Linked DNA regions of Anolis sagrei. The protein of the gene in region 2 interacts with the protein of the main gene of each other region in a biochemical or structural test. Links are inferred from orthologs where the notes say so. Each region holds a gene or a part of one and is shown on either strand. Other genes may lie near its edges.

Evidence for each region.
Region 1: the proteins of WASL (region 2) and PFN1 form a complex in vitro, tested with the Homo sapiens proteins (2 studies listed by BioGRID). The link is inferred for Anolis sagrei from reciprocal best matches to the Homo sapiens genes WASL and PFN1.

Annotation. Positions count from the first base shown.
Region 1 is NC_090026.1:1,330,088-1,337,642, reverse strand, and holds the start of PFN1 (profilin-1), read left to right. Parts: upstream 1-4,261; 5' UTR 4,262-4,481; coding exon 4,482-4,613; intron 4,614-7,555. UniProt on the Homo sapiens protein: Binds to actin and affects the structure of the cytoskeleton. At high concentrations, profilin prevents the polymerization of actin, whereas it enhances it at low concentrations. By binding to PIP2, it inhibits the formation of IP3 and DG.
Region 2 is NC_090025.1:127,454,787-127,462,977, reverse strand, and holds the start of WASL (actin nucleation-promoting factor WASL), read right to left. Parts: upstream 3,010-8,191; 5' UTR 2,364-3,009; coding exon 2,241-2,363; intron 1-2,240. UniProt on the Homo sapiens protein: Regulates actin polymerization by stimulating the actin-nucleating activity of the Arp2/3 complex. Involved in various processes, such as mitosis and cytokinesis, via its role in the regulation of actin polymerization.

The DNA.
Region 1 (7,555 bases), on a different chromosome or scaffold from region 2:
ACTATAAATCCCAGCAACTGCAACTCCCAAATGTCAAGATACTATTTCCCCCAAACTCCACCAGCGTTCACGTTTGAGCATATTGAGTATTTGTGTAGAGTTTGGTCCAAATCCATAATTGTTTGAGTCCACAGTGATCTCTGGATGTAGGTGAACTACAACTCCAAAACTCAAGGTCAATGTCCAGCTAACCCTTCCAGTGTTTTCTGTTGTTCATGGGAGTTCTGTGTGCCAAGTTTGGTTCAATTCCATCATTGGTGGAGTTCAGAATGCTCTTTGATTGGAGGTGAACTATAAATCCCAGCAACTACAATTCCCAAATGCCAAAATCAATCCTCTCCACAACCCCACCAGTATGCAAATTTGGTTGTATGATTGGGTATTTGTGCCCAGTTTGGTCCAGTGAATGCAAATATATCCTGCATGTAAGATATTTACATGACAATTCAGAACAGGAGCAAAATTCCAGTTATGAAGTAGCAGCAAAAAAAAATTGATGGTTGGGGTCACCACAACATAAGAAACCGCATTAAGGGGTCGTGGCATTAGGAAGGTTGAGAAACACTGAATTAGGAAATGGCATTGATAACCCAGGAGCAAAATTTGCATTGCAATGATGGAGGAGTTGCACATGCTGCAGAGATGCATCAGGCCAGGATCTTTGCAATGCTTTGCAATGCTTGCAACATCCTTTCTCTCTCCCCCACCTCTTCCTTTCAAGGTTTCTCAATGGAACAATGGCTTCTTTTGGGGGGGGGTGTCTGAAGGTCGAAAGGTGGGGCCCACTTCCTGCCTCCCTCCTCCATTCACCACTTCCTGAATCCTCACCCACTTTTGTGAGTCACCTGGCCACACAGGCAAGGCTCAGCAAGGCTTGCAGCTGCTTTGCTGCACCTTCTGCATTCATTCTCAGCCAGATAGAGACAGATCTATATATATATAAATGTCATGTTCATTTGTGAGATTTATTTATTTATCGAGTCAGGGGCAACCAGACCATTGTATTACATTTCTAACAGAACAAAACAAACAAACAGATTTAAAAAACACAAATTTTGCAAACTTGGTAGTTGATTAAATGTCCTTTGACCAGTATCTGGGTACTTGGAGTGCTTCTGGTGTTGCTGCAAGAAGGTCCTCCTTTGTGCATCATGTGGCAGGGCTCAGGGTGCATTGCAGCAGGTGGTCAGTGGTTTGCTCTTCTCCACACTCGCATGTCGAGGATTCCACTTTGTGGCCCCATTTCTTGAGGTTGGCTCTGCATCTCGTGGGGCCAGAGCGCAGTCCATTCAGCGCCTTCCAAGTCGCCCAGTCTTCTGTGTGTCCAGGGGGGAGTCTCTCATTTGGTATCAGCCATGGGTTTGAGCCTGCCACTTTTGGACTCTCGCTTGCTGAGGTGCTCCTACGACTGTTTCTGTAGATCTTAGGAAGCTATTTCTTGATTTAAGTTGTTGACGTGCTGGCTGATACCCAAACAGGGGATGAGCTGGAGATGTCTCTGCCTTGGTCCTTTCACTATTGGCTGCCACTTCCCGGCGGATGTCAGGTGGTGCGATACCGGCTAAGCAGTGTAATTTCTCCAGTGGAGTAGGGCGCAGACACCCCGTGATAATGCGGCATGTCTCATTAAGAGCCACATCCACTGTTTTAGCGTGGTGAGATGTGTTCCACACTGGGCATGCATACTCAGCAGCAGAGTAGCATAGCGCAAGGGCAGATGTCTTCACTGTGTCTGGTTGTGATCCCCAGGTTGTGCCAGTCAGCTTTCGTATGATATTGTTTCTGGCATCCACTTTTTGCTTGATGTTCAGGCAGTGCTTCTTGTAGGTCAGAGCACGGTCCAGAGTGACTCCCAGGTATTTGGGTGCACTGCAATGCTCCAGTGGGATTCCTTCCCACGAAATGATCCTCAGAGCTCGGGATGCTTGTCTGTTCTTGAGATGAAAGGCACATGTCTGTGTTTTAGATGGGTTGGGGATCAGCTGGTTTTCCCTGTAATAGGCAGTAAGAGCATCTTGTGCTTCGGAGAGCTTCTGTTCTACCATCTCAAAGCTCCCTGCTTGAGTGGTGATGGCACGATCATCAGCATAGATGAAACTCTCTGTCTCTTCTGGCAGTGGCTGGTCATTTGTGTAGATGTTGAACATGGATGGAGCGAGCACGCTCCCCTGAGGCAGGCCGTTCTTCTGTTTCCGCCATCTGCTTCTCTGGCCCTGGAACTCAACAAAAAAGCTCCTGTTTTGTAGCAGGTTTCCTATGAAGCGGGTGAGACGGTAATATTATTAGTAATATTACATGTAATATAGATATATAATTATAATATCATATTATTACTATATTGCATTACATTATAATATTATAAATATTATATGTATATACGATATATTATATTATTAGCACAGGAGACACACATACAATTTTAGGGGATTGGGGAAATTAGTTTTAGTGGGTGTATATAAGTCTTGCATTGGAAAATAAGAATTTTGGGAGTTGGAGGGGACCCCAAGGGACATCCAGTCCAACCCTCTCTTGCAAAGCAGGAGGCAGAATTACTATTATATTATTACCCATTAATATTATGATTAGACTCATAGAGTTGGAAGGGCCTCTCTCCAAAGGCCATCCAGTCCAACCCTCTTTTGCAAGGACACCATCAGATCCCTCCCAACAGATGGCCACTCAGCCTCTGCACCATAACAATAAAAAGCAAAGGAATGCCCTCCTCAAGTCCTTAAAGCAGGCATGGGCCAATTTGGGGGATTCCTTCAGGTTTTTTGGACTTCAACAGATGAGGGTGAAAAGGGAAAAGCCTGAGACTGTGAGGAATTCTGGGAGTTGAAGTCCCAAACGCGCCCCTAGCGGCCACTGGAGGTGGTGCCGCGGGAGAGGACAGCGCGTGTGCGCCTGCGCAAGAAGGAAGCCGCCTCGCCTCGCTTTTTTCACTGAGGGCGTTCTGCGCCTGCGCGAACAAGGAAGCAAGCCCGCCTTTTCTGTGCCTCTGCGCGGATAGGAAGGAGCCTCGCCCTTAACCGAAGGGACGCCAAAGCGGCGTTCTGCGCTTGCGCGGGGAGGAAGGCACCCCGCCCTCGCCTTTTTCATTCTGCGCTTGCGCAGGGGGAAAAGTCCCGTCCTTAACCCAAGGAGCGCATTCTGCGCCTGCGCGAGGAGGAAAGAAACTCCGCCCTTAAGCGCAAGAGAGCGTCGTGCGCCTGCGCAGAGAGGAAGAAGCCCCGCCCCCGCGTTGGAAAGAAAGCGAGAGGGCGGCATTTTGCGCTTGCGCAGAAAGAAAGCCGCCTTATCTCTTAACTGACGGAGTGTTCTGCGCCTGCGCGGGGAGGAAAGCTTCCCCATACTTAAGCTAAGGAAGGCGTTCTGCGCCTGCGCGGGGGAAAAAAGAGCCCTGCCCTCGCCTTGGAAAAAAAGCGGCATTTTGCGCCTGCGCAGAAAGAAAGCCGCCCCACTCTTCTAACTGACGGAGCGTTCTGCGCCTGCGCGGGAAGGAAAGCCTCCCTAACTGTAAGCGAAGGAAGGCGTTTTGCGCCTGCGCGGGGGAGAAAAAAGAGCCCCGCCCTCGCCTTTTTCTTTTAACTGACGGAGCGCGAGGACGGAGTTCTGCGCCTGCGCGAGGAGCAAAGAGCCCGGCCCTGAGACCAAGGAGCGCGTTCTGCGCCTGCGCGGGTGGGGAAAGAACCCCGCCTTTGCCTTTTCGTTTCACTAAAGGAGCGTTCTGCGCCTGCGCGGGGAGGAAAGATTTCCTCTACTCTTCCTTAGGCCAAAGGGGGGCGCAGAGGGAAGAAACCCCGCCCCCAATTTGGAAGACGAGCGCGAGGGCGGAGTTCTGCGCCTGCGCGGGAAGGAAAGATTTCTCCTTTGAACCAAAGGGGGGCGCAGAGGGAAGAAACCCCGCCCCCGCTTTGGAAGAAGAGCGCGAGGGCGGAGTTCTGCGCCTGCGCGGGGAGGAAAGCTTCCCCATCCTTAAGCGAAGGAGGGCGTTCTGCGCCTGCGCGGGGAGTTAAGCTTTCTCCTTTGAGCCAAAGGGGGGCGCAAGAGGGAAGAAACCCCGCCCCCGCTTTGGAAGAAGAGCGCGAGGGCGGAGTTCTGCGCCTGCGCGGGGAGGAAAGATTTCTCCCTTGAGCCAAAGGGGGGCGCAGAGGGCGGAGTTCTGCGCCTGCGCGGGGAGCAACGAGCCCGGCCTTGAGGCGAAATTGCGCGTAGTGCGCCTGCGCGGGGAGGGATAGGCCCCGCCCCCTTCCCTTCCCCTCAGTCCTTCTTCTGCCGCCCTCGCGCCCGCCCGGCCTGAGTCCCGCTCCCGCCGCGCCCTGAGGAGGAGCTCCCGAGCCCGGCTCCTGAGGCAGAGGCAGGCCGAGAAGGAAGGAAACAAGGCAGGCAGGAGCGCCCTCCTCTCGTCTCCTCTCCTCCGCGTGCCTCTTGGCTTGACTTCCGCCGGGCAGGCCTCCCTCGCCTTTCCCTCAGCGCGGGCCATGAGCGGCTGGAGCTGCTACATCGACAGCCTGATGGCGGACGACACGTGCCAGGACGCGGCCATCGTGGGATACAAGGAGGCGCCCTCCGTCTGGGCCTCCGCCCCCGGAAAGACCTTCGCCTCCATCACGGTAAGTACCCCAAAAACCCCTCAGGCCTCGCGGACTACAACTCCCATCATTCCTAGCGGCCTCAGGCCCTTTCCTTCCCCCCCCACAGCCGGGACTACAACTCCCATCATTCCTAGCGGCCTCAGGCCCCTTCCTTTTCCCCCACAGCCGCTTAAGCGGCTGTGGGGGGAAAAGGAAAGGGCCTGAGGCCGCTAGGAATGATAGGAGTTGTAGTCCCGGCTGTGGGGGGGAAAAGAAAAGGGCCTGAGGCCGCTAGGAATGATGGGAGTTGTAGTCCCACGCGGCTGGAGGGCGCCTCCAAGCAGAAGAGGAAGGAAGTGGCTCTGAGGCGAAGAAAGAGACCGTTAGGAGGGTCAGGAATGTGACCCGGAAGTAGCCCCCCCTCTCCTTCCTTACTTCCTTCCTTGCCACACCCCAAAGGTCACAACCCCCCCCCTTTTTTTTTTGAAAATTTAGGGCCAAGGAAGGAAAGAATAAGAATAGCAACCAAACAAACCAAAACAACACATAAATAACGTCAATTCGAACTTAATTGAAAAGATCAGTTAGAAAAAAATAAAATATATATTTTTAGGGGGGGTCTTTGGACCAAGGAAGAAATAATAATAATAATAATAATAATAATACCAATAATAATAGATACTATTACTCACCGCAAAGTGAGCAACCATAAATAGGAACTTAGCTGAAAAGAGCGGCCAGAAAAAATATTAAATATATTTTTAGGGGGGGGATCTTTGGGCCAAGGAAGAAAAAATAATACCAATAATAGTAGTTACTATTACTCATGCCAAAGTGAGCAAACAAACCAAAACAATACAGAAATAACATCCATTCGAACTTAGCTGAAATCCATTTAAATGTAACTGAAAAGAGAGGTCAGAAAAAAATTAAAATATATATATTTGGGAGGGGGGGGGTCTTTGGGCCAAGGATGAAAAATAATAATAATACCAATAATAATAGTTACTATTACTCAGACCAAAGTGAGCAAACAAACAAAAACAATATATAAATAACATCCATATGAACTTAACTGAAAAAAGCGGTCTTTGGGCCAAGGAAGAAAAAATAATACCAATAATGCCAGTAATAATAGTTACTATTATTACAAACAAACCAAAGCAATACATAAATAATATCCATTAGAACTTAACTGAAAAGAGTGGTCAGAAAAAAATAAATTATGTTTGGGGTTTGGGCCAAGGAAGAAAAGAATACGGTTAATAACAATAGTTACTATTGGGCCAAAGTGAGCAACCAAACAAACCAAAACAATACATAAATAACATCCATAGGAAGGGTGACCAAAAAAATAAATAAATTCAAAACATCAATATAGACTTAATTTAAAAGGGCGGCCAAAAAAATTCAAAACATAAATAACATCCATATAAAGTTAAGAAAGGAAAGAATAGGGATAATAAGAAGAATAGTTACTATTACTCACGCCAAAGTGAGCAACCAAACAAATCAAAACATAAATAACATTAATAGGAGGGGCGACCAAAAAAAATAAATTCAAAACATAAATAACATCCATATACACTTTATTTTAAAAGGCAGCCAAAAAAATATAAAAAACACAACTAATATCCATATAAACTTAAGGAAGGAAAGAATAGGGATTATATATATATATATATATATATATATAATATTGTATATTACAAGTAATATTACTAATAATATTACAATATAATTGTATAGTACAATATAGTGATGTATAGCGCTGATATTGTACTGTGCTAATGGTATAATGTATTGTGTGTGTGTGTATATATATATATATATATATATATCTTGTAAGCCGCTCTGAGCCCCCTTCGGAGCGAGAAGGACAGCATATAAATGCTGCAAATAAAATAAATAAATATTACTAACGCCATTGTCGGCAACAAAACACATCCAAACAACACATAGATAACATCCATAGGAATTTAACATAGAAGAACGACCAAAAAAATTATAAAAACACATAAATAACATCTATATAAACTTAATGAAGTTAACTTAAAAGGGCGGCCAATTTTTTTTTCAAAACAACACATAAATAATATCAATATACACTTAATTTAAAAGGGCAGCCAAAAGAAATCATAATTTTCCCCCTATTCAAATCACATCAGAAGGATCTCGAGAAATTATACTAAAAGTACAGAATGGGGAGTGATGTCATGGAAAGGAATGAGGAAACAAGAAGCCCCTCCTCTTTCAAGGGACCGAAAAGGGGGGGGTCCTGGCTCCCCCCCCCACGAAGGCCTTCTTGCCCCCTCCCCCCCTCCCCAAAGTGCCACGTCATACTTCCTTTCCTGTTTGGGAGGGGAGAGTTCCTTGGAGGCGAAGAGAAAGGACATTCACCCCCTCCCCCCCCCAAAAAACCGGAAATCCCCCTCCCACTTGCTGTTTCCGCCGCAGAAGGGGATTGTGGGCCTTGCTCTCTCTCCCCCCCCCCACAACTCCCCAAAAAGGCATTTCTGCCAGAATGGCGCCCTCCTCTCCTTAAAGGGGAAGGACTACAACACCCAGCATCCCCTCCAAGAAGCCTGTCTCTAGTTCCTTTTTGAAGGGGGGGGGGGTCTTATTCTTCCCTCCTCCAAAAGATCTTTGGTGCATCGAAAGGGTCCAAAGATGGGGTGGGGCTGCTTCTGCTTTGGGGAGAGGAGGGGGGGGGGGGCTTGGCATGCCTTTACTCAAGGAGAGCTCACATCTTAGGAAGCCCTTCTTTCTTTCATTCCTGCCCAGGCTTTGTGGTTTTTGCCCCCCCCCCTAATTCTCCAGGATCTAGGCGGGGTCAGTGGAGGGAAGAGAAGCACATTCCGCTTACCCCCCCCCCCCACTTCCTCCTTTTTATGTGGCGGCAAAAGCGGCGGGAGGGGAAGGAACAAGGGAAGGAAGGAACGAAAGGAAAAAAAGGAAGAGGAGAAGAGAGCAAAGAGGAG
Region 2 (8,191 bases):
CACAAAGGGAACCCCAGGGAGATGAAAAGCTGAGACTTGTTTGGACCTTCCCCAAACTGTGAAAATTCTAGTTCTCCACAAACATCATATCACAGCCTCTGGAACAAGCGCCATAGGGGTCTTCCTGGCAATGGCAGTATCTCATGTTGCCCCTTTTAAGGGCCATAGGCTACAATTTTCCTGGCAACAGAAGAGCCTCAGAGAAGAGTTTCAAATACCCCCTGTTGAAAGTACTCCCGGTAATGGAGGTGCCTCTGAGGGGAGCTTCAAGTTTCCCCAAATGAAGGTCTTCCTGGCAACAGAAATGCTTCAGAGGGGAGCTTCAAATACCCCCCCCCCCCTTTGGAGGTCCTTCAGATAATAGAGGTGCCTCAGAGGACAGCTTTAGGCCTCCCCTTTGAATGTCTTCCTGGACATGGAAGTTCCTTAGAGGGGAGATTCAAGTCTCCCCTTCTGAGGTCTTCTTGGTAATGGAAGTGTTTCGGGGGGAGCCTGAAGTAGGCCCCCTTTGGAGGTCCTCCTGGTAATAAAAGTACATTAGAGTAGTTTCAAGTCTCCCTTTTTGAAAGTCTTCCTGGGGAAAAAAAAAAGGCCTTAGAGGAGAGCTTCAAGTCTCCCCTTTTGAAGGTCTTTTGAAATTTCAAATAACCCCCTTTGGAGGTCTTTCTAGTAACAGAAGTGCCTCTAAGGAGAGCTCCAAGTCTCCTCCTTTGAAGGTTTTCCTGGTCATGGAAGTGCCTCAGAGGGGTTTCAAATAGCCCCCTTTTGAAGGTCCTCCTAGTAATAGAAGTGCCTTAGAGGACAGCTTCAAATCTTCCCTTCTGAAGATCCTTCTAGTCAGGGAAGTACCTTAGAAGAGAGCTTCAAGTCTCCCCTTTTGAAAGTCTTCCTGGGAAAAATAAAAGCCTCAGAGGGGAGCTTCAAACCTCTCCTTTTCAAGGTCTTCCTAGTCATGGAAGTACCTTAGAGGGGAGTTTCACATAGCCCCCTTTGAAGATCCTCCTAGTAATATAAGTGCCTCAGAGGACAGCTTCAAGCCTCCCCTTTTGAAGATCCTCCTGGTCATGGAAATACCTTAGAGGGGAGTTTCAAATAGCTCCCTTTTGAAGGTCTTCCTGGTTATGGAAATATCTTAGAGGGGAGTTTCAAGTTTCTCCTTCTGAAGATCCTCCTGGTCATGGAAGTCATAATATTAAATAATAATAAATATTTATTTATATCCTGCTTTTCTCCTTCACGGGACCCAAAGTTGCCTCAGATGAGAGCTTCAAATCCTCCCTTTGAAAGACTTCCTGGGGAAAAGAAATGCCTCTAAGTCTCCCCTTTTGAAGGTCTTCCTGGTAATGAAAGTATGTGAGAGGCGTGTTTCGAATAACCTCCTTTTGGAAGTCCTTCTAGTTACAGATGTGCCTCTAAGGAGAGCTTCGAGTCTACCCCTTTGAAAGTCTTCCTGGATATGGAATTGTCTCAAAGGGGAGTTTCAAATAGCCCCCCTTTGGAGGTCCTTCTAATAACAGAAGTACCTCAGAGGAAAGCTTCAAGTCTCCCACTTTGAAGGTCTTCCTGGTTATGAAAGTACATGAGAGGCGGGTTTCGAATACCCCCCCCCCCCTTTGGAGGTCCTTCTAGTAACAGGTGTACCTCAGAGGAGAGCATCAAGTCTCCCTTTTTGAAGGTCTTCCTGGTTATGAAAGTACATGAGAGGCGAGTTTTGAATAACCCCCCTTTGGAAGTCCTTCTAGTTACAGATGTGCCTATAAGGAGAGCTTCAAGTCTCCCCCTTTAAAGGTTCTTCCTGGTTATGGAAGTGCTTCAGAGGGGAGTTTCAAACAGCCCCCCTTTGGAAGCCCTTCTAATGTGCCTTTAAGGAGAGCTTCAGGTCTCCCCTGGTGAAGGTCTTTCTGGTTATGAAAGTACATGAGAGGCGAGTTTCGAAGGTCTTCCTGGTTATGGAAGTGTCTCAAAGGGGAGTTTCAAAAAGCCCCCCTTTGGGGGTCCTTCTAGTGACAGAAGTACCTCAGAGGAGGGCTTCAAGTTTCCCCTGGTGAAGGTCCTCCTGGTCACGGAAGCGCCTCAGGGGGGAGTTTCAAGGCGCCCCCTCAGAGGCCGCAGCCCGCCCCTCGCCCGCCCCAGGGGGCCACTTCCGCCTCAGCCCCCCTGGGCTGTCACTTGGCGCAGGGCCCTGTCTGCCTCCCGCCAGAGCAGGCCTCGCAGCGGCCCTCCCTCCCTCCTTCACTCACCACGCATTTCTTGCCCAGGAAGCCGAAGAGGCTCTCATTCTCCTGCGGGGTGAGCAGCATGGAGCCCACGTTGGTGACCCTCCGCGGCGGCGGGGGCTGCGTGGCGTTGTTGTTGCTGCTCATGGCGGGGCCAGGCCGGAGAGGGAAGGAAGGCAGGAAGGCAGGCAGGCAGGCCCCTCAGAGGGGCATGGAGAGCAGTGGCCCAGGAAGGGAGGGAGGAAAAGGAAGAGGAAGGAGGCTCCCCTCTGCTCTCGGCCTCTCTTTCCCCCTCTCCTCCTCCCTGCCTTCCTTCCTTAAACTTCTAACTTGTCCCCGGCTCAATCCAACATGGCAGGGCGCGAGGCGCGGGCGAAACCAAGAGGCGCGGCGCGGGAGGGGAGCCGCGGAAACGGAGAAGGCGTCTTCTTCTTCCTCGCAGGGCCCCGCCGCCGCCTTGGCCTCCCCTTCCGCGCTTGCCTTTCCGGTCTCCTCCTCCTCCCTGAGAAGGAAAAGGAGAGACAGAGAGAGAGGGGGGGACGAGCAGCTGAGAGGAAAGCGCCTTCTCCTGCTCTCTCTGGCGCGGGTTGCGGCCTAGCTTTCTGAAACGCCGGCCCAGTCGGTTTCCCCCTCTTTGACGCCGCTTTAACTGCCAGGGCGCAGTGCTATGGCTCCCTGTGAGTTGTAGTTCCATGCCTCACCCAACTACGACTCCCAGGATCCTTTAGCACTCAGCCTGGCAGTTCAAGAGGTGTCAAACTGCACAGCCTCATCACACTAGAGCACTTTAAATCCAGTGTCTGCCTCCTGCAGAATTCTGGGGTTTGTAGTTTTGGTGAGGGCCAGGACCTGCCTGGCTGAGCAGTTTAAAGTCCCCTCCCTAAACTATAAGCCCCAAAATTCTGCAGCGGGCAGAAACTGGATTTAAAGTGGAACCTTGCTCAAGACCTAGAGCAGTGGTTCTCAACCTTCCTAATGCCGTGACCAATTGATACAGTCCCTCATGTTGTGGTGACGACCCAACCATAATATTGTTTTCATTGCTACTCCATAACAGTCATTTTACTACTGTTATAAATCATAATGTAAATATCTGATATGCAGGATGCATTTTCATTCACTGGACCAAACTGGGCACAAATACCCAATACACCCGAATGTGAACGCTAGTGGGTTTGGGGGAGGATTGATTTTGTAATTTGGGAGTTGTAGTTGCTGGGATTTATAGTTCACTTCTAATCAAAGAGCATTCTGAACTCCACCAGAGATGGATTTGAACCAAACTTGGCTCCCATGACCAATGGAAAACACTGGAAGGATTTGATGGGCATTTATCTTGAGTTTGGGAGTTGTAGTTCACCTATATCCAAATGGCACTGTGGACTCATGTGATGGTGGATCTGGACAAAACTTAGCACAAATACTCAATATGCCCAAATGTGAACACTGGTGGAGTCTGGGGAAAATAGATCTTGCCATTTGGGAGTTGTAGTTGCTGGGATTTATAGTTCATTACAATCAAAGAACATTCTGAACTCCACCAATGATAGAATTGGCTCAAACTTCCCACATGGAATCCCCATGACCATCAGAAAATATTGTGCTTTCTTATGGTCTTTGGCGATCCTTCTGACACCCCCTCGCAACCCCCTCAGGGGTCCCAATTCCTAGGTTGAGAAACACTGACCTAGAGCATGGATCCAATTTAAATCCAGTGTCTGTCTCCTGCAGAATTCTGGGGTTTGTAGTTTTGGTGAGGGCCAGGACTTGCCTGGCTGAGCAGTTTAAAGGCCCCTCCCTAAACTATAAGCCCCAAAATTCTGAAGGGGGCAGAAACTGGATTTAAAGTGGATCCATGCTCTAATGCAGGGTTCCTCAAACTAAGGCCCCGGGGACCAGATCCGGCCTTCCAAGGTCATTTACCCGGTCCTCACACAGGGTCAACCTAAGTCTGGATCGAGTTGAAAGCGAACAACAACAACAACAATCCTATCTCATCAGCCAAAATCAGGCCCACACTTCCCATTGAAATACTAATAGGTTTATATTTGTTAAAATTGTTCTTCATTTTAATTATTGTATTGTCTTAGGTGTTTTTTGCACCACAAATAAGATCTGTGCAGTGTGCATAGGAATTCATTCATTTTTTTAAAAAAAATTATAATCCGGCCCTTTAACAGTTTGACGGACTGTGACCTGGCCCTCTGTTTAAAAGGTTTGAGGACCCCTGCTCCAATGCAATGGTTCTCAACCTTGCTAATGCAATGACCCTTTAATACAGTTCCTCATATGATGACCCCCAACCATAACATTTTCGTTGCTACTTCATAACTGTCATTTTGCTACTATTATGAATCGTCATGTAAATATCTGATATGCAGGATGTATTTTCATACACTGGACCAAATTTGGCACAAATATCCAATACTCCCATATTTGAATACTGGTGGGGTTGGGGGGGATTGTTTTGTTATTTGGGATAATAAGTGCATCAAATAAATAAATTATTTGGGAGTTGTGGTTGCTGGGATTTATAGTTCACTTATGATCAGAAAGCACTCTGAATTCCACCAACAATGGAATCGAACCAAACTTGGAACACAGAACTCCCATAACCAACAAACACCTCCCAACAAAGGATTCCCCCAGGCTGCAATCAGGTGGCCAATTGCAACATTCACACTAGCCTCAAGCAGACAAAAGTTCTTTCTCCTACCCTGGACATTCCACAGATATATAAACCTCACTTGCCTAGTTTCCAACAGACCCCTCAACCTCTGAGGATGCTTGCCATAGATGTGGGTGAAACATCAGGAGAGAATGCTTCTGGAACATGGCCATACACCCTGGAAAACTCACAGCAACCCAATTATGATGTTTATTAATATCTCGCTTTTTCTCTCCATACGGAAACTCAAGGCCCTTCCACACAGCCATATAACCCAGAATATCAAGACAGAAAATCCCACAATATCTGCTTTGAACTGGATTATCTGAGTCCATACTGCCATATAATCCAGTTCGATGTGGATTTTATACAGCTGTGTGGAAGGTGCCTCTTTTAAAGTTTAAGCAAGGGTAAAAGGACGTCTTATAAATTTGGCTATTCCCAATCTCACAGCAAATGTAAGTGGTTGCTATGGATTGTTATTGCATAATAATAATAATAATAATAATAATGCGCAAATTAATGCAGTTGGATCTTCAGAGAGTTTGGAATTGTTTTAACAGATCTTGTTTTAATAATTGCAATATTTAATAATTGCACTGCCATATAATCAATTTCAAAGCAGATAATGTGGATTTTATATGGCAATGAGCTCCATTCAGTTCTAGCAATTTCAGGGTGGTGGCATCCTTGATTAAATCAGGCCATATGGAGCCAGTGTGATTTAGGATTGATCTACACTGCCATATAATCCAGATTATCAAAACAGATAATCCAGATTATTTGATTTGAACTGAATTACAGGAGTCTACACTGATATATAATCCAGTTCTTAGTTCCCCGTGAAGTGAGAAGGACGGGATATCAATGAAGTAAATAAATAAATAAATTCAAAGCAGATAATCTGGATTTTTAAGGCAGCGTAGAAGGGGCCTCAGTGGTTTTTGCACTGGACTATGACTCAAGATCAGGGTTAAGCTTTCCGCTCAGCCAGGAAACCAACTTAATATCCTTGGGCCAGTCACACACTCTCAGTCTCAGAATACCCTGTGATAGTGTCAGAGTCACAATGAGTCAGAAATGATTAGAAGGCACACAGGAACAACAACCATCTACAATATGATCTTTGAGGAAGCAACTTTAAGGTGCACAACAACCACCATCTCTAAGGTTGTCTTTCTCTTTCCTTATTGCCTTCCACTTTCCTTAAGTTAATCATTTTTTTTCCAACGACTCCTTTTTCACACAAAGTCCAAGATACAATTGCTGTAGTTTAATAATTTGAGATTTCAGGCTTGAATTGCTCATGTTTGTTATTGACTTTTATGGTGGTCCAAGGTATCAGAATCATAGTCATGTGGAATACACACCAATATCAGCACCTATAAACTGAACCACAAAATACTCAGATCCTTGTAGCATAAAAAGGAAGATCCCAAGTACAGGGCTACGAATATAACTGTTAAAATGCTATCAACTAATCAAGGTTTTTAAAAAAACTAATTCATTAAAATTTTGAATCCAGAAGCATTTTGTGATACAAAAACATGCAAGGCACTTCTGTCAGGTCCCTATGATTCTTGGAAGCAAGCCACAAACAGTAAATTAAATTAAGAAACAAGTTTTCTGATATTATTGCTGTGGGGCAACAGATATAGAGAGATACAAATGGGTTAATGACACTCTTTTCAGGGAAAACTGGATCCCATAGAGAATTGAAGTAGAATTGAGTTTATTTGTTTATTTATTTATTTCCGGTATTTCTGCCCTGTCTCTTTTCTACCCCCAAAGGGGGACTCAGGACAGCTTACACTGGCAGCGATTCGATGCCGTTACATATAAACAATTAAATACAATAACCATTACATACAAAAAAAAAATTAAGCCATTAAAATACATAAAATACATAAACCATTAATTAAAACAGGACATAAAACTGGGTTGTTGTAGGTTTTCCGGGCTATATGGCCATGTTCTAGAGGCATTTTCTCCTGACGTTTCGCCTGCATCTATGGCAAGCATCCTCAGAGCATCCTCACTACCTCTGAGGATGCTTGCCATAGATGCAGGCGAAACGTCAGGAGAAAATGCCTCTAAAACATGGCCATATAGCCCGGAAAACCTACAACAACCCAGTGATTCCAGCCATGAAAGCCTTCGACAGGACATAAAACATTAATTAAACAATAAAACCGTATCTTCATAGATATCGTCTTGCCAATCCATTTCCAACCAAAGTGCTGATTTATGTCTGCTGTCTGAAAACCTGGTCCCAGAACCACGATTTCAATTTCTTCCTGAAAGCCAGGAGGGATGGGGTCGATCGTATCTCATTTGGAAGTGCATTCCACAGGTGGGGGGCCATGGCCGAGGAGGCCCTGTCTCTCGTCCCCACCAGCCGTGTTTGCAATGTGGAGAAATAAATCAGATATTTGAATTTTTGTCTCTTTCAATGATGTCAGTTTGCATATATGAATCTCTATATATTTGGATTCTGACTTTTTGAAAACAACAACACTCCAACATTAGCATATGACGACAAATCACACGTCACATCAGTGCCTCTGAACCACATCATTAACAGATATGCCTACGGCACCCTCAAAAAACAACAAAAAAATCACAGGCAAATACCTCTACTATTTTGCATGTAAATGCCCAATTAACCATCTAATTCTAGTGTGCTTTCATAATTATGATGACAAGTGGCAATCATGCCAATTATCTGATCTGGAGGTTTTCTTAACTGTACAGAATTGGGTGTGGGTTTTCATAGTGGATTTAGGACATTCCCATGTAAAAATCATGCAGATTCAAGCGCTCATTTAGACTTTTCACTGCTGTAATGTCAAGAACACCTAGGAATATGGATTTTATAGTGCATTCCACAGGTACAGATGTGTATTGTGTTTCTATGATGAAACAGATGGCACTAGGTCTTGTTACTATTAGAATCATGGAATCAGAGCTGGAAGGAAACAAAGTACCATCTTATTCACCCCCCTGCCATACAGGAATATGCAGTGAAATCACCGCTATTAAAACACAAGAGATACAAGATCTCCAGAGAAGGAGGGTCCATCTCCTTCCAAGGCTGTGTATCCGAAGTCCTTTGTAATGTTTGGGCCTGTTGACATATTCTACTGTATGATCCCTTTGTACTGAGGGGAATGTGCTTTACATAGGCTCAGGTACTTTCCTTCATTATTATTTCATAAGTTTATTATTTTCCTCGGGTACTAAAAGCAGAAATTGAGATTTGAACCCTGGCACAAAACTAACCTGTCAGGGATTGCTGATAGGAAAA